Ovis aries: one gene and its partners. The protein of the gene in region 4 interacts with the protein of the main gene of each other region in a biochemical or structural test. Links are inferred from orthologs where the notes say so. Each region holds a gene or a part of one and is shown on either strand. Other genes may lie near its edges.

Evidence for each region.
Region 1: the proteins of GTF2B (region 4) and GTF2E1 form a complex in vitro, tested with the Homo sapiens proteins (2 studies listed by BioGRID). The link is inferred for Ovis aries from reciprocal best matches to the Homo sapiens genes GTF2B and GTF2E1.
Region 2: the proteins of GTF2B (region 4) and GTF2F1 form a complex in vitro, tested with the Homo sapiens proteins (3 studies listed by BioGRID and IntAct). The link is inferred for Ovis aries from reciprocal best matches to the Homo sapiens genes GTF2B and GTF2F1.
Region 3: the proteins of GTF2B (region 4) and RELA form a complex in vitro, tested with the Homo sapiens proteins (2 studies listed by BioGRID and IntAct). The link is inferred for Ovis aries from reciprocal best matches to the Homo sapiens genes GTF2B and RELA.
Region 5: the proteins of GTF2B (region 4) and GTF2F2 form a complex in vitro, tested with the Homo sapiens proteins (2 studies listed by BioGRID and IntAct). The link is inferred for Ovis aries from reciprocal best matches to the Homo sapiens genes GTF2B and GTF2F2.

The regions. Positions count from the first base shown.
Region 1 is NC_056054.1:186,281,634-186,285,133, forward strand, and holds part of GTF2E1 (general transcription factor IIE subunit 1), read left to right. Parts: exon of another isoform or gene 1-13; coding exon of another isoform or gene 14-51; intron 52-1,643; coding exon 1,644-2,104; intron 2,105-2,618; exon of another isoform or gene 2,619-2,690; intron 2,691-3,500.
Region 2 is NC_056058.1:15,928,121-15,931,781, forward strand, and holds the end of GTF2F1 (general transcription factor IIF subunit 1), read left to right. Parts: intron 1-320; coding exon 321-491; intron 492-970; coding exon 971-1,155; intron 1,156-1,712; coding exon 1,713-1,866; intron 1,867-1,951; coding exon 1,952-2,133; intron 2,134-2,228; coding exon 2,229-2,830; 3' UTR 2,831-2,921; coding exon of another isoform or gene 2,922-3,126; 3' UTR 3,127-3,161; downstream 3,162-3,661. UniProt on the Homo sapiens protein: TFIIF is a general transcription initiation factor that binds to RNA polymerase II and helps to recruit it to the initiation complex in collaboration with TFIIB. It promotes transcription elongation.
Region 3 is NC_056074.1:40,276,238-40,279,306, reverse strand, and holds part of RELA (transcription factor p65), read left to right. Parts: intron 1-595; coding exon 596-700; intron 701-911; coding exon 912-1,124; intron 1,125-3,069. UniProt on the Homo sapiens protein: NF-kappa-B is a pleiotropic transcription factor present in almost all cell types and is the endpoint of a series of signal transduction events that are initiated by a vast array of stimuli related to many biological processes such as inflammation, immunity, differentiation, cell growth, tumorigenesis and apoptosis.
Region 4 is NC_056054.1:66,124,062-66,127,997, reverse strand, and holds the start of GTF2B (transcription initiation factor IIB), read left to right. Parts: upstream 1-1,136; 5' UTR 1,137-1,205; coding exon 1,206-1,222; intron 1,223-3,936. UniProt on the Homo sapiens protein: General transcription factor that plays a role in transcription initiation by RNA polymerase II (Pol II). Involved in the pre-initiation complex (PIC) formation and Pol II recruitment at promoter DNA.
Region 5 is NC_056063.1:15,776,973-15,780,472, forward strand, and holds part of GTF2F2 (general transcription factor IIF subunit 2), read left to right. Parts: intron 1-1,231; coding exon 1,232-1,375; intron 1,376-3,500. UniProt on the Homo sapiens protein: TFIIF is a general transcription initiation factor that binds to RNA polymerase II and helps to recruit it to the initiation complex in collaboration with TFIIB.

The DNA of each region.
Region 1 (3,500 bases), about 120 Mb from region 4:
CTTAAGCCTTGGAATGACAGAAAGCCTCAAGGACCACAAGTTTGAATCTAGGTGCTACTTTGTTATCTCTTATATTTATTCATGCCTGAGTATTTATAATCCAAAATAAATATTATAACTATTCCCTTTTATTTTTCCTTTATTACAGGTCAGGTATTATATCCCTTCCCCTGTATGTGTATGTTATTGGCTATTTAGAAATACCTTTATAGTACTGTGGATATAAATATATTTCTTATAAAAAGGTATTAAATCTAATAAGGTTAATAACTACTGATTTTAAATAAAAGGGTCAGGAGAAACTAGTATTAATAACAGTATGATTCCCTGTTGAAACAGTTCAATAGGATGTCTGTTAGAAATTTTCTTGTAGTGTAGGGACACATTAAATTGATATTCAAGCACTTTGTTAACAAGTGCTTTCTAAGCACGTTGGACTTTCCTGGTGGCTCAGATGGTAAAGCATCTGCCTACAATGCGGGAGACCCAGGTTTGATCCCTGGGTCGGGAAGATCCGCTGGAGAAGGAAATGGCAACCCACTCCAGTAATCTTGCCTGGAAAATCCCATGGACGGAGGAGCGTGGTAGGCTACAGTCCATGGGGTTGCAAAGAGTCGGACACGACTGAGTGACTTCACTTTTTTCACTCTAAGCACATTACATTCTCATTAATTCACCACAACCTCATTGAGGCAGTTGATATTATCCTTATTTCTCAGGGAGTAAAGTGTGCCTTGAAGTTGTTAAGGAATTTGCTTAGAGTCACACAGCCACAAATTCAAATCCCAGGCTCTTTAACAGTCACATGGAAGTCTAGTTTATGCCGGTTTGGGCTTCTAGAAGACCGTACTCTGGGTACAGTTAGCTTCTGCTTGTCCTGCAGGGGATCCAGTATTTAAGGATATCTTGGTCTTTGTTGTTGTTTTTAAGAACTGTATAGCATTTGCTTATTTGGTCATTTATCTTTTCAAGGTTGGTAAAGTGGTATGTAGTTGTTCATTTCTTTCGGATTTTTAACAGTAATTTTGCCAGTCCCCCCAACTGGTCATTATTTAGGTGTTTTATTGGTTTCTTATGAGTTTATTATGAGAGCCAGACTGTGTAGAACATCCTACAATCTATCTTGGTAGAAAAATTTTACTCAAGAAATAAAGACACTTAAAAGAGTATGCTAACTGCTAACTAAGTTTCTCAGGGTTTTTTTTCCCCCCAGCATTCCCAAAGATGTGTAGCTTTAAGAATAATGAATGAGACTTTATTTAGCCTTTTTGTGTTTCTCTTTCTGAAATAAAGTGGGTTTGATACAATATATCATTGTATCATTGCTGTAAATAATGTTGCTTTTTGGAATTAAACACTCTGTAGGTCATGAAAATAACCATTTAAGAAATATGTCAAGCTTTTTATGTGTAATCTTTTGTGTACTCTAAAGGAATATCTTGTTCTCTTGTTACATGCTTGGGCATTATAAATCTTTTAAAAACAACACTTTGAGTACTATTGTGGTACTCCAAGAATACTGGTTATCAGCTACTTAATGGGTTGATTATTTTAGATTTAAAATGATTGCTTTGTCCATATTCTAGATAATTTTCTCTCTCTCTCTCTTTTTTTTTTTTCTGACCGTACATTTGAAATTGAAGTTTGCTGCTAAAGATGGCAGATCCAGATGTCCTCACTGAGGTTCCTGCAGCATTGAAGCGGCTAGCAAAGTACGTGATCCGGGGATTTTATGGCATTGAGCATGCTTTGGCCTTGGACATCTTGATCCGAAACCCCTGTGTGAAAGAGGAGGACATGCTGGAGCTTCTCAAATTTGATCGGAAGCAACTTCGATCAGTCTTGAATAATTTAAAGGGAGACAAGTTCATCAAGTGCAGAATGAGGGTAGAGACTGCTGCAGATGGGAAAACCACTCGCCACAACTACTACTTCATCAATTATCGTACTCTTGTTAATGTGGTAAAATATAAATTGGACCACATGAGAAGGAGGATTGAAACTGATGAGAGAGATTCCACCAACCGGGCTTCCTTCAAATGTCCTGTCTGTAGTAGTACTTTTACAGACTTAGAAGCTAATCAGCTGTTTGATCCCATGACAGGTGAGATTTTTCCAGTTAATGAATCTTTCTTTTAAGTAACTTTTTAGAATAAAGTGTATATCCTTTATCTTAAATTGATTTACATAGTTTTTAAACTGATTATATGTATCATTGTGTGCTCAGTTGTGTCCAACTCTTTGTGGCCCCATGGACTGTAGCCTGTCTGGCTCCTCTGTCCATGGGATTTCCCAGGCAAGCATACTGGAGTGGGTTGCCATTCCCTACTTCAGAGGATCTTCCTGACCCAGAGATCAAACTCTCACCTTTTGCATCTCCTGCACTGACAGGTGAATTCTTTACTACTAGCGCCACCTGGGAAGCTCTGTAGTGTAGTGTAGTATAGTATAGTATAGTATAGTATAGTATAGTATAGTATAGTATAGTAAAGTGAAGTCGCTTAGTCGTGTCCAACTCTTTGCGACCCCGTGAACTGTAGCCTACCAGGCTTCTCTGTCCATGGGATTCTCCAGGCAAAATTACTGGAGTGGGTTACCATTTGCTTCTCCAGGGGATCTTCCCGACCCAGGGATCGAACCTGGGTCTCCAGCATTGGAGGCAGACGCTTTAACCTCTGAGCCACCAGGGAAGCTATATCATTATAAAAGGGAATATATTGGTGTAAGTAAGCATATAGTCATTCTTAGCCTTAATGTCCAATTTGTCATACTACTTTTAGGAGCTATTGCAAAGCATTTCTCCTTTACAAGGGATTTACTCATCCATGGACTATTCTTTCACCCATGGCCCTTCCACCTCTCCTTCCACTCCCATCCCTTGTTTACAACTGCAGCCTAATCTGAAGGGTTTACTTTCCCTACCACTTTGAGGCTATTCTGACTTTACTGAGTTTACTTTTGACCTTTTCATTCAGCAAATATTTGAGCATTTTCTTGTGCCAATCACTGCCAGACAGTTATAATAAATGCTTATTATTAGTACTTAAATACTTGGTTAGTAGAAATGCAAAGTGCTCTCAGGAGGACATAACTAGGGCGGCTAATCTGGTTTTGGGAAGGCCTCTGAAAGAAATTAAATAGCAGGGGCCTAAAAGATAAGTTAAAGTTAACCAGATGAAATAAGAGGGAGCACCCTTTCCGCTTAAGTTAACAATATATATTTAGTTTCTTAGCCAGTCATTGATGGAAGAGAATTGTCAACAAGAGTTATAAATTGTTTCATTTCATTAAATACTTAGTTTTAAGGATTTTTCTGATCAACACAGAATTTACAAAACGTGTTTTCTGAAAATATAACGTCTAACATTAACATGAGAAACTTTAAATTGCTGACTTGTATAGTTGTGTTGCTATTTGTAAATTGGAAAATAGACTATAGTTTTACTAATTACTTAGTAGATCAATCTTGTATTAAAAATCTGTAAAAACCTAAGAAAGAA
Region 2 (3,661 bases), on a different chromosome or scaffold from region 4:
CAAGGAAGATTCCGGAGGGGAATCCAGAGGGGTCTGACACTAGAGCACTGTGCTCTTTAGGGCCCATCTAACAGGTCCTTCCAGAAAGGACCATGTCGTGTATAGTGCACAGGAGCCCTAAGTCTGCTCTGTGAGGGCAGGAAGCCCACCTTTTCCAGATGTGGGAATCCAGGCTCAGGCAGTCAGCGGGCCAGCCTTCCAGCCTCAGGTTTTGCTAGGAGAACCCAGATGGCCCTGGAGAGAGGGATGCAGGGGGTGTTGTCTGGATGTGGCACTAGTCCTTCTTCCCCACACAGACTGTGACCTTGAACTCCCTGCAGGTTCAAGGGCATAAAGAAGGGCGGCGTGACAGAAAACACCTCCTACTACATCTTCACCCAGTGCCCTGATGGGGCTTTCGAGGCCTTCCCTGTCCACAACTGGTATAACTTCACGCCGCTGGCCAAGCACCGCACGCTCACGGCCGAGGAGGCTGAGGAGGAGTGGGAGAGGTGAGTGATGGGGCCACGCCTAGAAAAGGGCTGCAACCCCCCGACATTGTGCCTGGCTGGGAGCTGGGGACTCAGCGGTGAGCAAGCCAGATCTCTCCACTGCTCAGGAGCACCCAGTCCAGGGGGCAGATGGACTGGAGACAGCGGGGAGAGGGACTGGAGAAGTGGGGAGTTGGATCCGGTGCTAGGGTGTCAGCATCACACGAGACCTTCTCCTGAGGGACTCTGGGCAGGCAGGGAACCAAAGGAGGGCCAGCTCTCCCTGTGTGCTCTCAGGGTCTTTCTGCCACGTGCTTGTGTCCCCATGTTCAGGGTCAGGTCGTCCCTCTCATCACCTAAGTTGTGTCAGTGGCTCTCCCTCGGGGCACACCTGGTGGAAGTGCAGGGAGGCATCAGTGGATGAGGCCCACTCCCAGAGGGGGTCCCCGGAGCCAGGCCCGCTGCCAGCCCCTGCTGTAACACTGCCCCCCGCCCCACAGGAGAAACAAGGTCCTGAACCACTTCAGCATCATGCAGCAGCGGCGGCTGAAAGACCAGGACCAGGACGAGGAGGATGAGGAGAAGGAGAAGCGCAGCAGAAAGAAGGCCAGCGAGCTGCGCATCCACGACCTGGAGGACGACCTGGAGATGTCGTCGGATGACAGCGAGGCCAGCGGCGAGGAGGGTGAGGCAGATGTAGCCAGCCCTGGGCAGCTGGGGCCGCAGTTGTAATTAATTCAGGTCTTGTGTGATGACTCAGAAAAGTGAATGCCCCTGAAAGGATTGCTTGGTTACTTGCAGACCCCTGTTCCCCCAGGAGCTTGGCCGCTGGGGGAAGCACCAGGGTTGGTTAGGAGGCCCCAGGAAGGTCTTTCTTGGCCATGGCCTCACCTGGGATTTCCATGGGAATGGCCTTAAGACTGGCCAGTTTGAGTCGTGCCAGCAGCCTCTGGGCCAAGGGGTGGTCTCTGGTTGCCCGGTGGCTGGCTGGCCCAGGTGATTTAGGGCAGCAATGGCAGCCCTGAGTGTGAGTTAGAGAAAGGGGTTGTCTAGGGGTGTGAAGTTGGGATTGCTTGCTTGGCGGTGGGTGATTGGTACAACCCTGGGCCAGCTCTCTGCCTCCTGGAGGAATTAGGGCCGTTCCTGGCATCACCACAGCCCCTGAGATGTCCAGGCATCATTAGATACACACAACACGATGCATGCCCGTCTGAGCCCCTCACCTTGTCTGTCCCTCCCCAGGTGGCAGAGCCCCCAAGACCAAGAAGAAGGCACTGCCCAGCAAGGGGGGCCGGAAGAAGAAGAAGAAGAAGGGCTCAGATGATGAGGCCTTTGAGGACAGTGATGACGGGGACTTCGAGGGCCAGGAGGTGGACTATATGTCCGATGGTTCCAGGTGAGGCAGGCGGGAGGCGGGTGTGAGACCCTGGGCCGGCCTGCAGACGTGCTTACTCACCCTCTGCCCGCTCTCTGTCTTACAGCAGCTCCCAGGATGAGCTGGAAGGCAAGCCCAAGGCCACCCAGCAGGAGGAGGGCCCCAAGGGCGTGGATGAGCAGAGTGAGAGCAGCGAAGAGAGTGAGGAGGAAAAGCCACCTGAGGAGGACAAGGAGGAGGAGGAGGAGAAGAAGGCGCCCACGCCGCAGGAGAAGAAGCGGAGGAAAGGTGGGTTGTTCCCTCTGAGGCCCTGATCTGGGACAGGGCTGAGAGCTGGCTCAGGGGTCTCCGGTCCTGACATCCCCTCCTCTGGCCCCTTGCAGACAGCAGCGAGGAGTCCGACAGCTCGGAGGAGAGTGACATCGACAGTGAAGCCTCCTCAGCACTCTTCATGGCGGTAAGGCCCAGCCGAGGCAGGGCTGGCCAGGGAGGACGGTGGGGGGCCCCTCTCCTGACATGTATGCTCAGTTGCGATCTCCACAGAAAAAGAAGACGCCCCCCAAAAGGGAGCGGAAGCCATCAGGGGGCAGTTCCAGGGGTAACAGCCGGCCAGGCACGCCCAGCACTGAGGCAGGCAGTACTTCTTCCACCCTCCGGGCAGCCGCCAGCAAGCTGGAGCAGGGTGAGTAGTACCCCACCATCCCACCCTGCCCGCCCTACCCCGCTGTTGACCCCATCCTGGTCTTCCTGTTCCGCATCCTCTGAGCCCCTTGCACACATGATCCCAGCACTGTCCTCCCACCCCCCTACCCAGTGGTCCAGCCTCCCAGACCTGGTCTCAGTCCCACCGCCACCTCCCACAGGGAAGCGCACCAGCGAAACGCCGGCAGCTAAGCGGCTGCGACTGGACGCTGGGCCCCAGAGCTTGTCCGGGAAATCCACTCCTCAGCCCCAGTCTGGGAAGTCAACCCCCAGCAGTGGGTAAGTGGGCGAGCACAGCAGGGGCCGGTGGGGGGTGGGGGTCAGGGGGCTCAGGGACAGAGGACGCCCGCTGACACCCAGCTCCCCACCTCCAGTGACGTTCAAGTGACTGAAGACGCCGTGCGCCGCTACCTGACACGGAAGCCCATGACCACCAAGGACCTGCTGAAGAAGTTCCAGACCAAGAAGACGGGGCTGAGCAGCGAGCAGACAGTGAATGTGCTGGCTCAGATCCTGAAGCGCCTGAACCCTGAGCGCAAGATGATCAACGACAAGATGCATTTCTCCCTCAAGGAGTGACGCTCCCCCCAATAAACATGGTCTATTTTCCACAATCCTCAGGGTCTTCATACCCACACTCGCTGCCTCTTGTCCCACCGCCTGTAGACACCTCTTAGGACTTAACCCTCTCCTTAGCCCCTCAGCCTCCTCCGTGGAGCTGCTGGCTGATTTCTTTCAGCTCTGTCTTTCACTTGGCTGGTTCTCTCTTCAGCTGTGGCTTATCCACCTGCTGAACCCGTTAAAAGGGCTTCTCAGGTGGCTCAGTGGTGAAGAATCTGCTCTGCCTGTGCAGGGGACGCAGGTTCAATCCCTGGGTCAGGAAGTTTCCCTGGAGGCACCCACTCCAGTATTCTCGTCTGGGAAATCCCATGAATAGAGGAGCCTGGTGGGGCTACAGTCCATGGGGTGGCAGAGTCGGACGTGATTGAGCACACATGCACAAACCCATAAGTACTTATGTCACTGTCTTTCAGTTCTGCAAAGTATGTTTCTCTTTCAGATCAGTAGGTCTATTTTGAGTGTATGGCCCCTTCTGTTTTTGATGCCTTCTTTT
Region 3 (3,069 bases), on a different chromosome or scaffold from region 4:
TACTGAGGACTCCAGGAAATGAACTTCCAGGAACGAGATAATGTTAGAAACTAAGAATTCAATGAGGAAAGCTCACAGGAAGTTTACAGATGGATTGGGCTGACATTGGTCAACTGCAGTTTAAAAGTAGCCAGTAGGATACGTGAAAATAAAAAGGCTTTGGAGCCCCAAGGCCAGAAAACCAGGATGAACCAGTGTGTGTGGGGGTGGGGGGCTCAGGAGGGAAGGATTCATTGCCAGAGCGTGTATGAATGGGTCTTGAATACTGCCTGGGTCAGGTGGAGAAACAGCAGTTGTGATCGCTTTGGTTCTCGTAGGACTGTATGCTTCATGATGGCAGAGATGTTTACCTTTTGTGCGTGGTTATGTTCTTCAGGCCTAGAGCAGAGCTGGGCATGGAGTAGGTGCCGGCAGAGTTGCTGAATTGGTTGGTGTGAGGAGCCAATGGGAATGGTTGAATCTTGGCTGCAGAGGTGTAGTCAGCAAATTCTAGACAACCTTGACCCTGGGCTGGGCAGGAGCCGCATTTTCCTGCAGGTCAGCCCGGGAGACTGCCGGTGGTTCAGGGCTTCCTTCCTTATTCCCACACCTTCAGGCGCCCCCAACACCGCTGAGCTTAAGATCTGCCGGGTAAATCGGAACTCTGGGAGCTGCCTCGGCGGGGACGAGATCTTCCTGCTGTGTGACAAGGTGCAGAAAGGTACACAGCCAGAAGGAGGGCTGGACCCAGGAGCAGGAGGCAAGGGGCAAGGCTGAGCAGACACACTAAGTGTTAAGGAGCTGGTTTAAGCACTGTCCCCAACTCTTTGGGGACAGCAGGGCCATGCATCTCTAGAGACTAGTATCGGCAATTGCAGGGGGCGGCGGGCTGGGGAAGCTGAGCACCCACACGGCCGCCCTGTCTCCTGCAGAGGACATCGAGGTGTATTTCACGGGACCAGGCTGGGAGGCCCGAGGCTCTTTTTCACAAGCTGACGTGCACCGGCAAGTGGCCATCGTGTTCCGGACGCCGCCCTATGCGGACCCCAGCCTGCAGGCCCCTGTGCGTGTCTCCATGCAGCTGCGGCGGCCTTCTGATCGGGAGCTCAGCGAGCCCATGGAATTCCAGTACTTGCCAGACACAGGTACCCAGCTGGGCAGGGCAGCAGCAGGGCTGTGGGCTCCAGCCGGTGGGAGTGAGGCCGGGCTGGATGCCACAGCTGTAGGTGAAGGTCAGAAGCTGGGGTTGGGCAGATTTCCATAGTAATCAGATTCTTCTTCTCACCTCATTTAATAGTGGTGCCCAAGACTTACTGAGCTCTTGTGATATGTGTGGCCCTATTCCAGGCATATCAGTGAATTACCTGATTTTATTCTCTCATGAACCTTTTGAGGTGGGAGATAGCATCTAACTTGCCTTAGGTCACATAGCTAGTGAGTTATAGACCCAGACCTCATTTGAACCCAGGCCATCTGGCTTCTGGGACCTGTTGCCACAGTGTATCTATACTTATCACCACCACACAGCCATGCTGTGGTCAGGGCTTTCGGGCATCTGCTCAAATAGGAACAGCCAAAGTGATCCTTTATCTGAAGCCTGTCATCCAGCCTGAAAGTGTGTCCTGCCCTGGGACCTGTTTAACAGTCTGGAAAACAAGGCCTGAAACAGCCATCAGTTCATCCCACCAGATGAGGACTGAGTGTCCACTTGGCACCAGGCTCTGCGCCAGGTATCATCAATCCAAAGATGGATAAGACACGTTCCCTGCCCTTTGGGAGCTCGGTCACATGAGGAAGGCACACATGCAAAACAGCAGCCTGTGTCACAGAATGACGCGTGAAGCAGCGAGGTGTGTGCAGAATACTGTGGGAACTGGAACCGGCCGCGTGGAGGAGGTAGCATTTAGATTGGAGAAAGACCCAGAAGCGCATTCTCTAGGCGGGTGGAGCAGAAGGGCAGGGAACGGGCACAGCACGTTTGGGGACAGCTTTGTGGCAAGAGTTCACGTCGTCGGGTAGTGAGCAGGCTCCGGCAGAAGGGCCTTGAAGGCTGGACTTGCGTTCATCTGGGGTCACATCCTAAGGCCTCGGGAGCCACCAAAGGTTTCTGAACAGAGAAGTGACGTGAGCAGGTCTGGAAGCAGCGTGCAGAGCATCTGAGAGGGGGGACATGGGGTGGGGAGGTTTCGGAAGATGTTCCGGTCGTTCCGGGAGAAAAGGTGCTGTGTGAACCTCACAGACAGAACGCACGAGACCGTCTCACCCACTGCAGGCCTCCTCCAAGACCCTGAGCCCAAGGGCCCTTTGTGTCCTCCTGGGGACCTGTGCTCTAGCTGTTGCCTCTGCTCGAAACGCTTGGCCCCCAGATCTTCACACGGTGGGCTCACACCGGTGCTTCCCTGGACCCCTCGACCTTACCTCTGGCGCTGTTACTCGCCCTGGTCTCCTCCTCAGCTCCTATCACTTGTGTCAGTGCCCCTCTGTCCCTTGGATGTCACAGCTTTGGGGAACAGGAACCTTGTCTGCTTATTCAGGGCCATACCTCCAGTGGCTCTAATGGAGCCTGGCACGCAGATGCTTGGTGAACATGTGTCTAGAGGGTGAATGGTGGGGAGTGAGAAAGAGGAAGCTGCTGAGGATGTGTCCAAGGTTTGGGAACAGGGCAAAAGAGGTAGGGCGGGAACACCAAAGGGGAGGGAACCAGGATCAGGTGCTTGAGGTGAGACGGTGAGGTTGGCTTTGGGCTCTTGACGTCAAGTGCTTTGGGCTTCTCCAAGTGCTGCAGTAGTTAGAGAGTTCGGAAAGCTCCAGACTAAACTCAGAAATGATCAGAGAGAAGGTTAAGAGTCTGTTGAAGTCTTAAGCCAGCCTGTCATGCTCGGGCTGCCCCAGAAAGCAGAGCGCGCAGCACCAGGCCTGGTCAGGGCTGGACGGGAGCAGGGACGTCAGCAGTGCAGGTGAGAGAAGCCTGAGGTGGGACCCTGCGACGGCTCCTGGCTCCTGACTTGGGGTCACCTGTGTGGCCTTTGGAGGCCACATTCAGCTAATGGAGGTCTCAAAAAGTCACGGCATTCTTATATTCGTGGAGTG
Region 4 (3,936 bases):
CTGGGGGAAGCACAAGCTGGAATCAAGATTGCTGGGAGAATTATCAATAACCTCAGTTATGCACATGACACCACCCTTATGGCAGAAAGTGAGGAAGAACTAAAAAGCCTGTTGATGAAAGTGAAAGGGGAGAGTGAAAAAGTTAGCTTAAAACTCAACATTCAGAAAACTAAGATCATGGCATCTGGTCCCATCATTTCATGGCAAATAGATGGGTAACAGTGGACACAATGGCTGACTTTATTTTTCTGGGCTCCAAAATCACTGCAGATGGTGATTGCAGCCAAGAAATTAAAAGACACTTGCTCCTTGGAAGGAAAGTTATGACCAACCTAGACAACATATTAAAAAGCAGAGACATTACTTTGTCAACAAAGGTCCGTCTAGTCAAGGCTATGGTTTTTCCTGTGGTCATGTATGGATGTGAGAGTTGGACTATAAAGAAGGCTGAGCACCAAAGAATTGATGCCTTTGAACTGCGTTATTGGAGAAGACTCTTGAGAGTCCCTTGGACTGCAAGGAGATCCAACCAGTCCATCCTAAAGGAAATCAGTCTTGGGTGTTCATTGCTGGGACTGATGTTGAAGCTGCCACTCCAATACTTTGGCCACCTGATGCGAGGAGCTGACTCATTTGAAAAGACCCTGATGCTGGGAAAGATTAAGGGCAGGAGGAGAAAGGGATGACAGAGGATGAGATGGTTGGATGGCATCACCGACTCGATGGATATGGGTTTGGGTGGACTCCGGGAATTGGTGATGGACAGGAAGGCCTGGAGTGCTGCGATTCATGGGGTCACAAAGAGTCGGACACGACTGAGCGACTGAACTGAAGTGAACGGATGCGGGCTTTGCCCCCTCCACGGAGCCCAGTATTTTGTGTTGTAACTCAGTCAAGTTGAGGGTATCTCTGGTGCAGCACGTTTGCAGAGTGCCCTTGGGAATTTTCCCGGGTGATTTCCTATATTTGCCCAGCCACATAGAAAATGATCGAAAGTGAATAGGGAAGTAAGAAAACGCAAAGCACGGGGCGTACCCGAGCTCACTGTTCTTGGCCCTTCTCCGGACCCGTAGCCACGCCCTATTACGACTGCGTGGGCGATTCGCCTATAAAAGCCCGTCTCGCTGCGTTTCGTCGCCACTGTCTCTTCCTGTTTGCGGTTGCGTCTGTCGTTGTTTGTAGCTGGAGCCGCAGTGGCCGGGAAGATGGCGTCTACCAGCCGGTTAGTACGTCATGTAGAGCCCAGCCAGCTGAAGGGCGGGCGGCGAGTGCCGGGGCTAGCAGGGCGGCCGCTCCCGCTGCTTCGTCGAGCAGAACGCCTCGGAAGTGCGGGGAGAGGCAGCCGGACCGGCTGGCCGCCCGGGACAAAGGCACTTCCAGACGCAGGGCTGTCAGGGGTGTCGCAGGGGATAACGAGCCGCCGGCGTTTCTCCTCCAGCGTCCTTGGTCGTTTTCTCACTCAGGCACTATCATGTGGGGGGCTCCGGTGTCCCCAGCCCCTGGCCTCGGGTCTTTTGCGTATGATCCAACTGTCCTTTTTTCCTAAATTTTCTACGCTTGTTTTTTTTAATCTGTTGGTCTGCCAGCGGAGGGTCCGTGAATCCTCTTCTAGAGAGCGGGAAAGGGTTAGTTCTAGGCCTTTATCCATCTGACAAAAAGTTAGGGACGTCAGCGTTGGTAAACCTGATGGAAACTGATAACCATCCCCGAGGCCTTTTGAAGTGGAAGCTAAGGCATTTCTGAAGAGTTGATAAGTCTCCTTAAGAGATTTCTTTAGAGATGTCATCTGCATACTCCTGAAGAAAATTTTGCCTGCAGAAAATTAACATACTGGGAAGTCACTCAGAAGGCAACGCACTCTAGTGTTCTTGCCTGGAGAAGCCCAGGGACGGGGGAGCCTGGTGGGCTGCCATCTATGGGGTCGCACAGTGTCGGACACGATTGAAGCGACTTAACAGCAGCCGCAGCAGAGAAGTCACTAATATATTTTTAAAATGTGATGTACTGATTGATACCTACTGCAAATGCATACAGTGGCATTAGAGACAGCCTTTAATCCTGTGACGTGAAAAATGCTTGCAGACCCTAATTATGTCTCTCATGACCCTGAGGTAGATATTAGGATTTTTGCCTAAGTGTAAACTGAGTCATGCCCATGTTGGCTTTTCGAAGGTTAGTATTAGAACAGAGTATAGAATCTCAGATATCTGTTTCCTGTTGTCACACTTGGTAACTCATAATGTACTAAACATATCAGATTAAGTTCTGTAGCTTCTGGAAGGCAAGGTAACTCTGGCATAATTTTTCTGAACTTGTTCTCATCTTTGGAATTGAGTTCCTGATGAAAGCCATCATCACAAAATGATAATCTTTGAGTAGTACAGGCCCTTTCTGGTGAGTACCAAGGCTTACTACTTTGTGTTACTGTATTTTAAAAAGATGGGGCAGGAGGCAGCCTTAGCTAAACTACTTGGAAACAGCTCTTATGGCCAGTGATACTTGTTTACTGATTCTAATTCTGTGATTAAATGTTCAATCATTCTACTTGGGTGTGGCTCTGTCAGGTTAGGGTTCCTTGTAGGTAAATGGAGAACTAGCTTCCCAAGAACACCTATATATAACATTCTCCTAGGGCAGATCTGCTATGAATATGGTTATATTGGGGCTTTATTATAACATATTGTAGTAGTTACATATAGGAAATTCACTTGATAGATTCTTTACGGAAACATTTCCTTTGTGTGCTTTATTCTCTTCATTAAAAGAAAAAATGTGAGATATTTCTTTGAAATAAATTTTCCCTAGGTTTATTGCAGTTGTCCATCTCTGAGTTTTTTTTACCCGTGAGAACAAAGGTGGATGTTAGTATTTCTGTGATAGCTTTTTTCCCCCTGAGGAAGAGGGACAGTTACTGGACTATGAAACTGCTTGGTGTTTTCACAGAGAAGAACACAAATGTTGTGAGTTCAGATCTAAACTCTACCACTCATTAGTTCTGTGACTTCAGGAAAATCATTCTCTGAGCATAATCTTTAAAATAGAGGTAATGCTTAATTTGTGGAGAAGGCAATGGCACCCTGCTCCAGTACTCTTGCCTGGAAAATCCCATGGAAGGAGCAGCCTGGAAGGCTGCAGTACATGGGGTTGCTGAGGGTCGGACACGACTAACTTCACTTTCGATTTTCACTTTCATGCATTGGAGAAGGAAATGGCAACCCACTCCATTGTTCTTGCCTGGGGAATCCCAGGGATGGGGGAGCCTCCTGGGCTGCCGTCTGTGGGGTCGCACAGAGTTGGACACGACTGAAACAGCTTAGCAGCAGTAGCAGCAATGCTTAATTTGAAGGGTTGCTAATGAAGATTAATAATAGATGTACAGTACTAGACACAGTAAAGGATAGCTATAAAATGAAGTTAGGAATTATGTGGCTTCTTAGGCAGCCTAAGTTGTTTTAATGTCAGTGGTGGTGGTATACTCCATTCCTTCCCTCTTGTTTCTTTCCCTGACTTCCCCCACTACCCTACTCTTGTGGTTCCTCTTTTGTATTACCCTTGTGGGTTATTTAATTAAAAGTTAACTGCTTGAGCACAATTTTATTTTATTTTGAATAGGTAACACATGCAAATCATAAAAAGCAAGAAGAAAAGTGAAAAGCAGTTTCTTTTTTCCCTCGCTCCTAGCCATCTAATTCTTCTCCAAAGCAGTCATTGTAACCAGTTTCTTGGTGTTTTCCTAATGATTCTGTGGTTTAACAAACATATTCATATAATCCTAACCTCTCTTCCTTCCAAAAAGTAGTCTAATATAAAAAATGAATGCCATCTTGCTTTTTACCTTTTTTTGTGAAGTTTTTAGCACACAGATTTTAAGTGTGCAGTTCAGTTACAAAGTGAGCATGTACACTTAGCTGTCACCCAAGTCTCCCGAATAAATAC
Region 5 (3,500 bases), on a different chromosome or scaffold from region 4:
TTTGAAGCTAGCCTCTCTCTCATAGTAATTCTGCTGATGCACAAAAGATTGTTCTCCGACAGCTTTTACCCGGCCTGCCGATGCTTTATTGACCAGGTGGGCTGCTGCAGTCTCTGTTGCTGTTTAGTCACTAACTCACGTCCGACTGTTTTGCGACCCCACAGACTGTAGCCCACCAGGCTCCTCCGTCCATGGGATTCTCCAGGCGAGAATACTGGAGTGGGTTGCCATTGCCTTCTCCAGGGGATCTTCTTGGCCCAGAGATCGAACTCGCATCTCCTTCATTGGCAGGAGAGTTCTTTACCATGAGCCGCCAAGGAAGCCCTACAGTGTATATATACCTGTCCTCTAACAAGTTTCTGAGGCTTTATCAAGATAAAGTTTGGAAAAAAAAAAATGAAAAGCTTAATCAACTGACATGAATGCGAGCAAATTGCATGTTTTCAATAAAGAGTTAACTTTTTTACAAATGCACACATATATGCATTTGTAAACCACGGGATGGTGTCACCATTTGTGCCATTGCTTACTTCATTTTACAGAAGAAGCAAGTTCAAGGAGGCCATGGGGTTGGGAGGAGAAAAGGCCGCCTGTCACCACCCTTGTTCTTTGCTTTTTACCAAGATTTGATTTCCCAAGCTTTTCCTCCCTAGAAAACCTATTATCTGATCTGCCTGCCCCTCAGCCTTCTTCCTGCCCTGAAAAACTGTCATTTTGAAAGATATTACCTACCAAATGGCATCGAGCAGATAAACTCTTTTACTGTATTTTGGGTAATCATTGGAGAAGGAAATAGCAATCCACTCCAGTACCTTTGCCTGGAAAATCCCATGGACAGAGGAGCTTGGTAGGCTACAGTCCATGGGGTTGCAAAGAGTCGGACACGACTGAGCGACTCCACTTGGGTAATCAAAAACCAAGAGTTGCAAATAGACTTTGTGATCCACATGATGTGATTTCTGTGAAGATGGGCTTTGGGGGAGGAAATGGACACATTACATAAAGCTTTAGGGAACGGTGAAAATGCTTTACTGGTGGGCACTAACCTTCCTGGAGCCGTAAAGGTCTGAGGAGCCCTGAGAGTGGTGAAGGCCACAGGTACTGAACCACCACTCTTTGACCTGCTGCCTTGCGATTTAATACCTAACAGTGGAGGACGGAAAAGAGTCCCTGGGTTTCAGAGTGAGCACGCTGAACTGATGCCTTCGGGACTTTTGCTTTTTCCACATAGATTGAATATGAAAGGAAAAAGAAAGAAGATGGAAAACGAGCCCGAGCTGATAAACAACACGTTTTGGACATGCTGTTTTCAGCTTTTGAGAAGCATCAGTATTATAACCTGAAGGACTTGGTGGACATCACAAAACAACCTGTGGTATGTATATGCTCACACTGATCCTTTAAATGGGTTTAAATTGGCTTCATTAACACGGCTTTACTGAAGAGAAGCATATTGTGAATTAGTATGTTCGCTTGCACCTATGCTGGTGGCAGGTTTAGTTCCAGCATGGAAAAGATGCCTCCGCGTAAACTTCCTTCCTGTCTTCCCCTCTCTTCCTTTCTCTCTGCTTCTTTTTTTAATCTCAGCTTCACTGTTTGAATTTTAAATACCTTTAGTATCAGTAGTTCGTATGGAGACGAGGCGGATTTGTCCTCCTTTTGACTGACCCTTGGCGTTAAGCCTGAAGTCTCTTGTTTACAGCATTTCTACTCTTCCGTTTGTTCTTCTGCCTCCCTCTAGAAAAGCTCAACTTTAAGAGTCACTGTTTTTTCACAGTGAGTGTGTATCCCTGTCTCGTGAACTGTTCTCTGTGGATTTTTTTAAAAATCATCTAGCACTAACATTAGGTCCTTTCAAACTTGAGCTGTAGAGCCTCACAGTGCTTGTTGAGATTATGCTTGGGTTGGCCTAGTCTCCATTTTCAAGGAAATTTTTAATAAGTTGATGTTTTAGAGAAGTTTTGTTCTATAAATAATCGTTTTTTAATCACTTCTCCAGACGTTTGTATTAATACCTATCTGCAAATAATCTGTGTTTCTAATCCATTTAAAATGCTGGAAACAAGGAATTGAAACCCTTTCTCTAGTCTTTGGGCCATGTTTCCTTCCATTTAGCTCTCTCACACCTAAGCTTAGCAAAGTGTCAGATTGAATTATAGCAGTATTTTACTTACAGGTTTTTAAAAATTAGGTGGAAACCCCTTTATTTTTGTCCTCTTACCCAGTTTTCCTTTATCATTTTATCCACCTTGCCAGGATACCCAAGAATATGTTAATTCTAACTGCTCCATTTATTTGCTTCAGCATATGTAACAAGATAACCGGTTTTGTGAAATATTTTGACATAAATGGCTCCATGGTTTGTTTGGTTTTTTTTATGTATTCAAAGCTTCAGGAAATTATTTCTGAAACTTCAGTATTGATGGTGCAGTTTCCCACTTCTGTAGAGATTTCTTTACTGTTACACTTCATCCTTTCACTATTTCATTAAGAAAGAAATTAGAATTCCAAAAGACCTAAATACTTTTCTTTAACCAAAGAGAAGGAAAGTGCTCATGCTGGCAGTATTATCAACTCATCTTAATGACTTCACTCCCTTCAGCATCAAAGCCTTAGAAACAGCATTCCAAGCTAGATTAGAAAATTTGAAATAGAATAATTCATAAGCTAAACTCCATTTCTTCTGCTTTTAATGAAGTTTATCTTTGTATTTTTATATATACATGAAAAGGCTATTCCAGATATTCTGGATGCAAATGACATAGTCTCATAGAATAAAACACACACACACAGTTAGATGTGGGAAAATAAGTGTTTATAGAGGGACATTCAGATAAGTACTAAGCAAAGCTCTTTCTTTGCCTTCACAGGGAAAGACATAATATTTTTAAAGTTTATTCATTTTGCAGCAGAGAAAAAGAATAACTAGCTTTCTCTCCGTCTTGGCTGTTCAGATAATTTTTATCTGGCGGAACTCAGTGACTCTCTTAACAGAACCTCTTAATTCATGGTCAGTAGGCTTAGGAGATCCAGCAACCCCCTGAATATGTACAGAAATGTGTGGATTTTTCTGGGGAGCAGGTTTGTAGTTTATGTCAGATTCTCAGAGAACCTCGGAACCTCAAAGAGCTTGAGAACCACTGATCTAGAAACTGAATTATTTTATAGTAGTTTTATTATGTAGGGACTAAATTGCCTCTAAAGCATTAAGTTTTTGAAGGCAGGTTTGTATATTATTCACATCCCTAAATATTCATACATTCCACAACACAAACATAGTAGCAATCTAGTAAATATTAGATAAATTGATTTAAGGAAAAGGAGACGGTGACATCCTTTACCTTTTAGGACCAGCGTATTTTCCTCAGGTGGATTTTGACAGACCTCCTGTTGTCTGTGGCAGGAGCGGGGTACAAAGAGCTGTCTCAGTAAAGCATAGAGTGCCGGAGCTGCAGTTACTCTCGTGTAGAGGATAGGACTGGACGTGGTCACCATGGGCT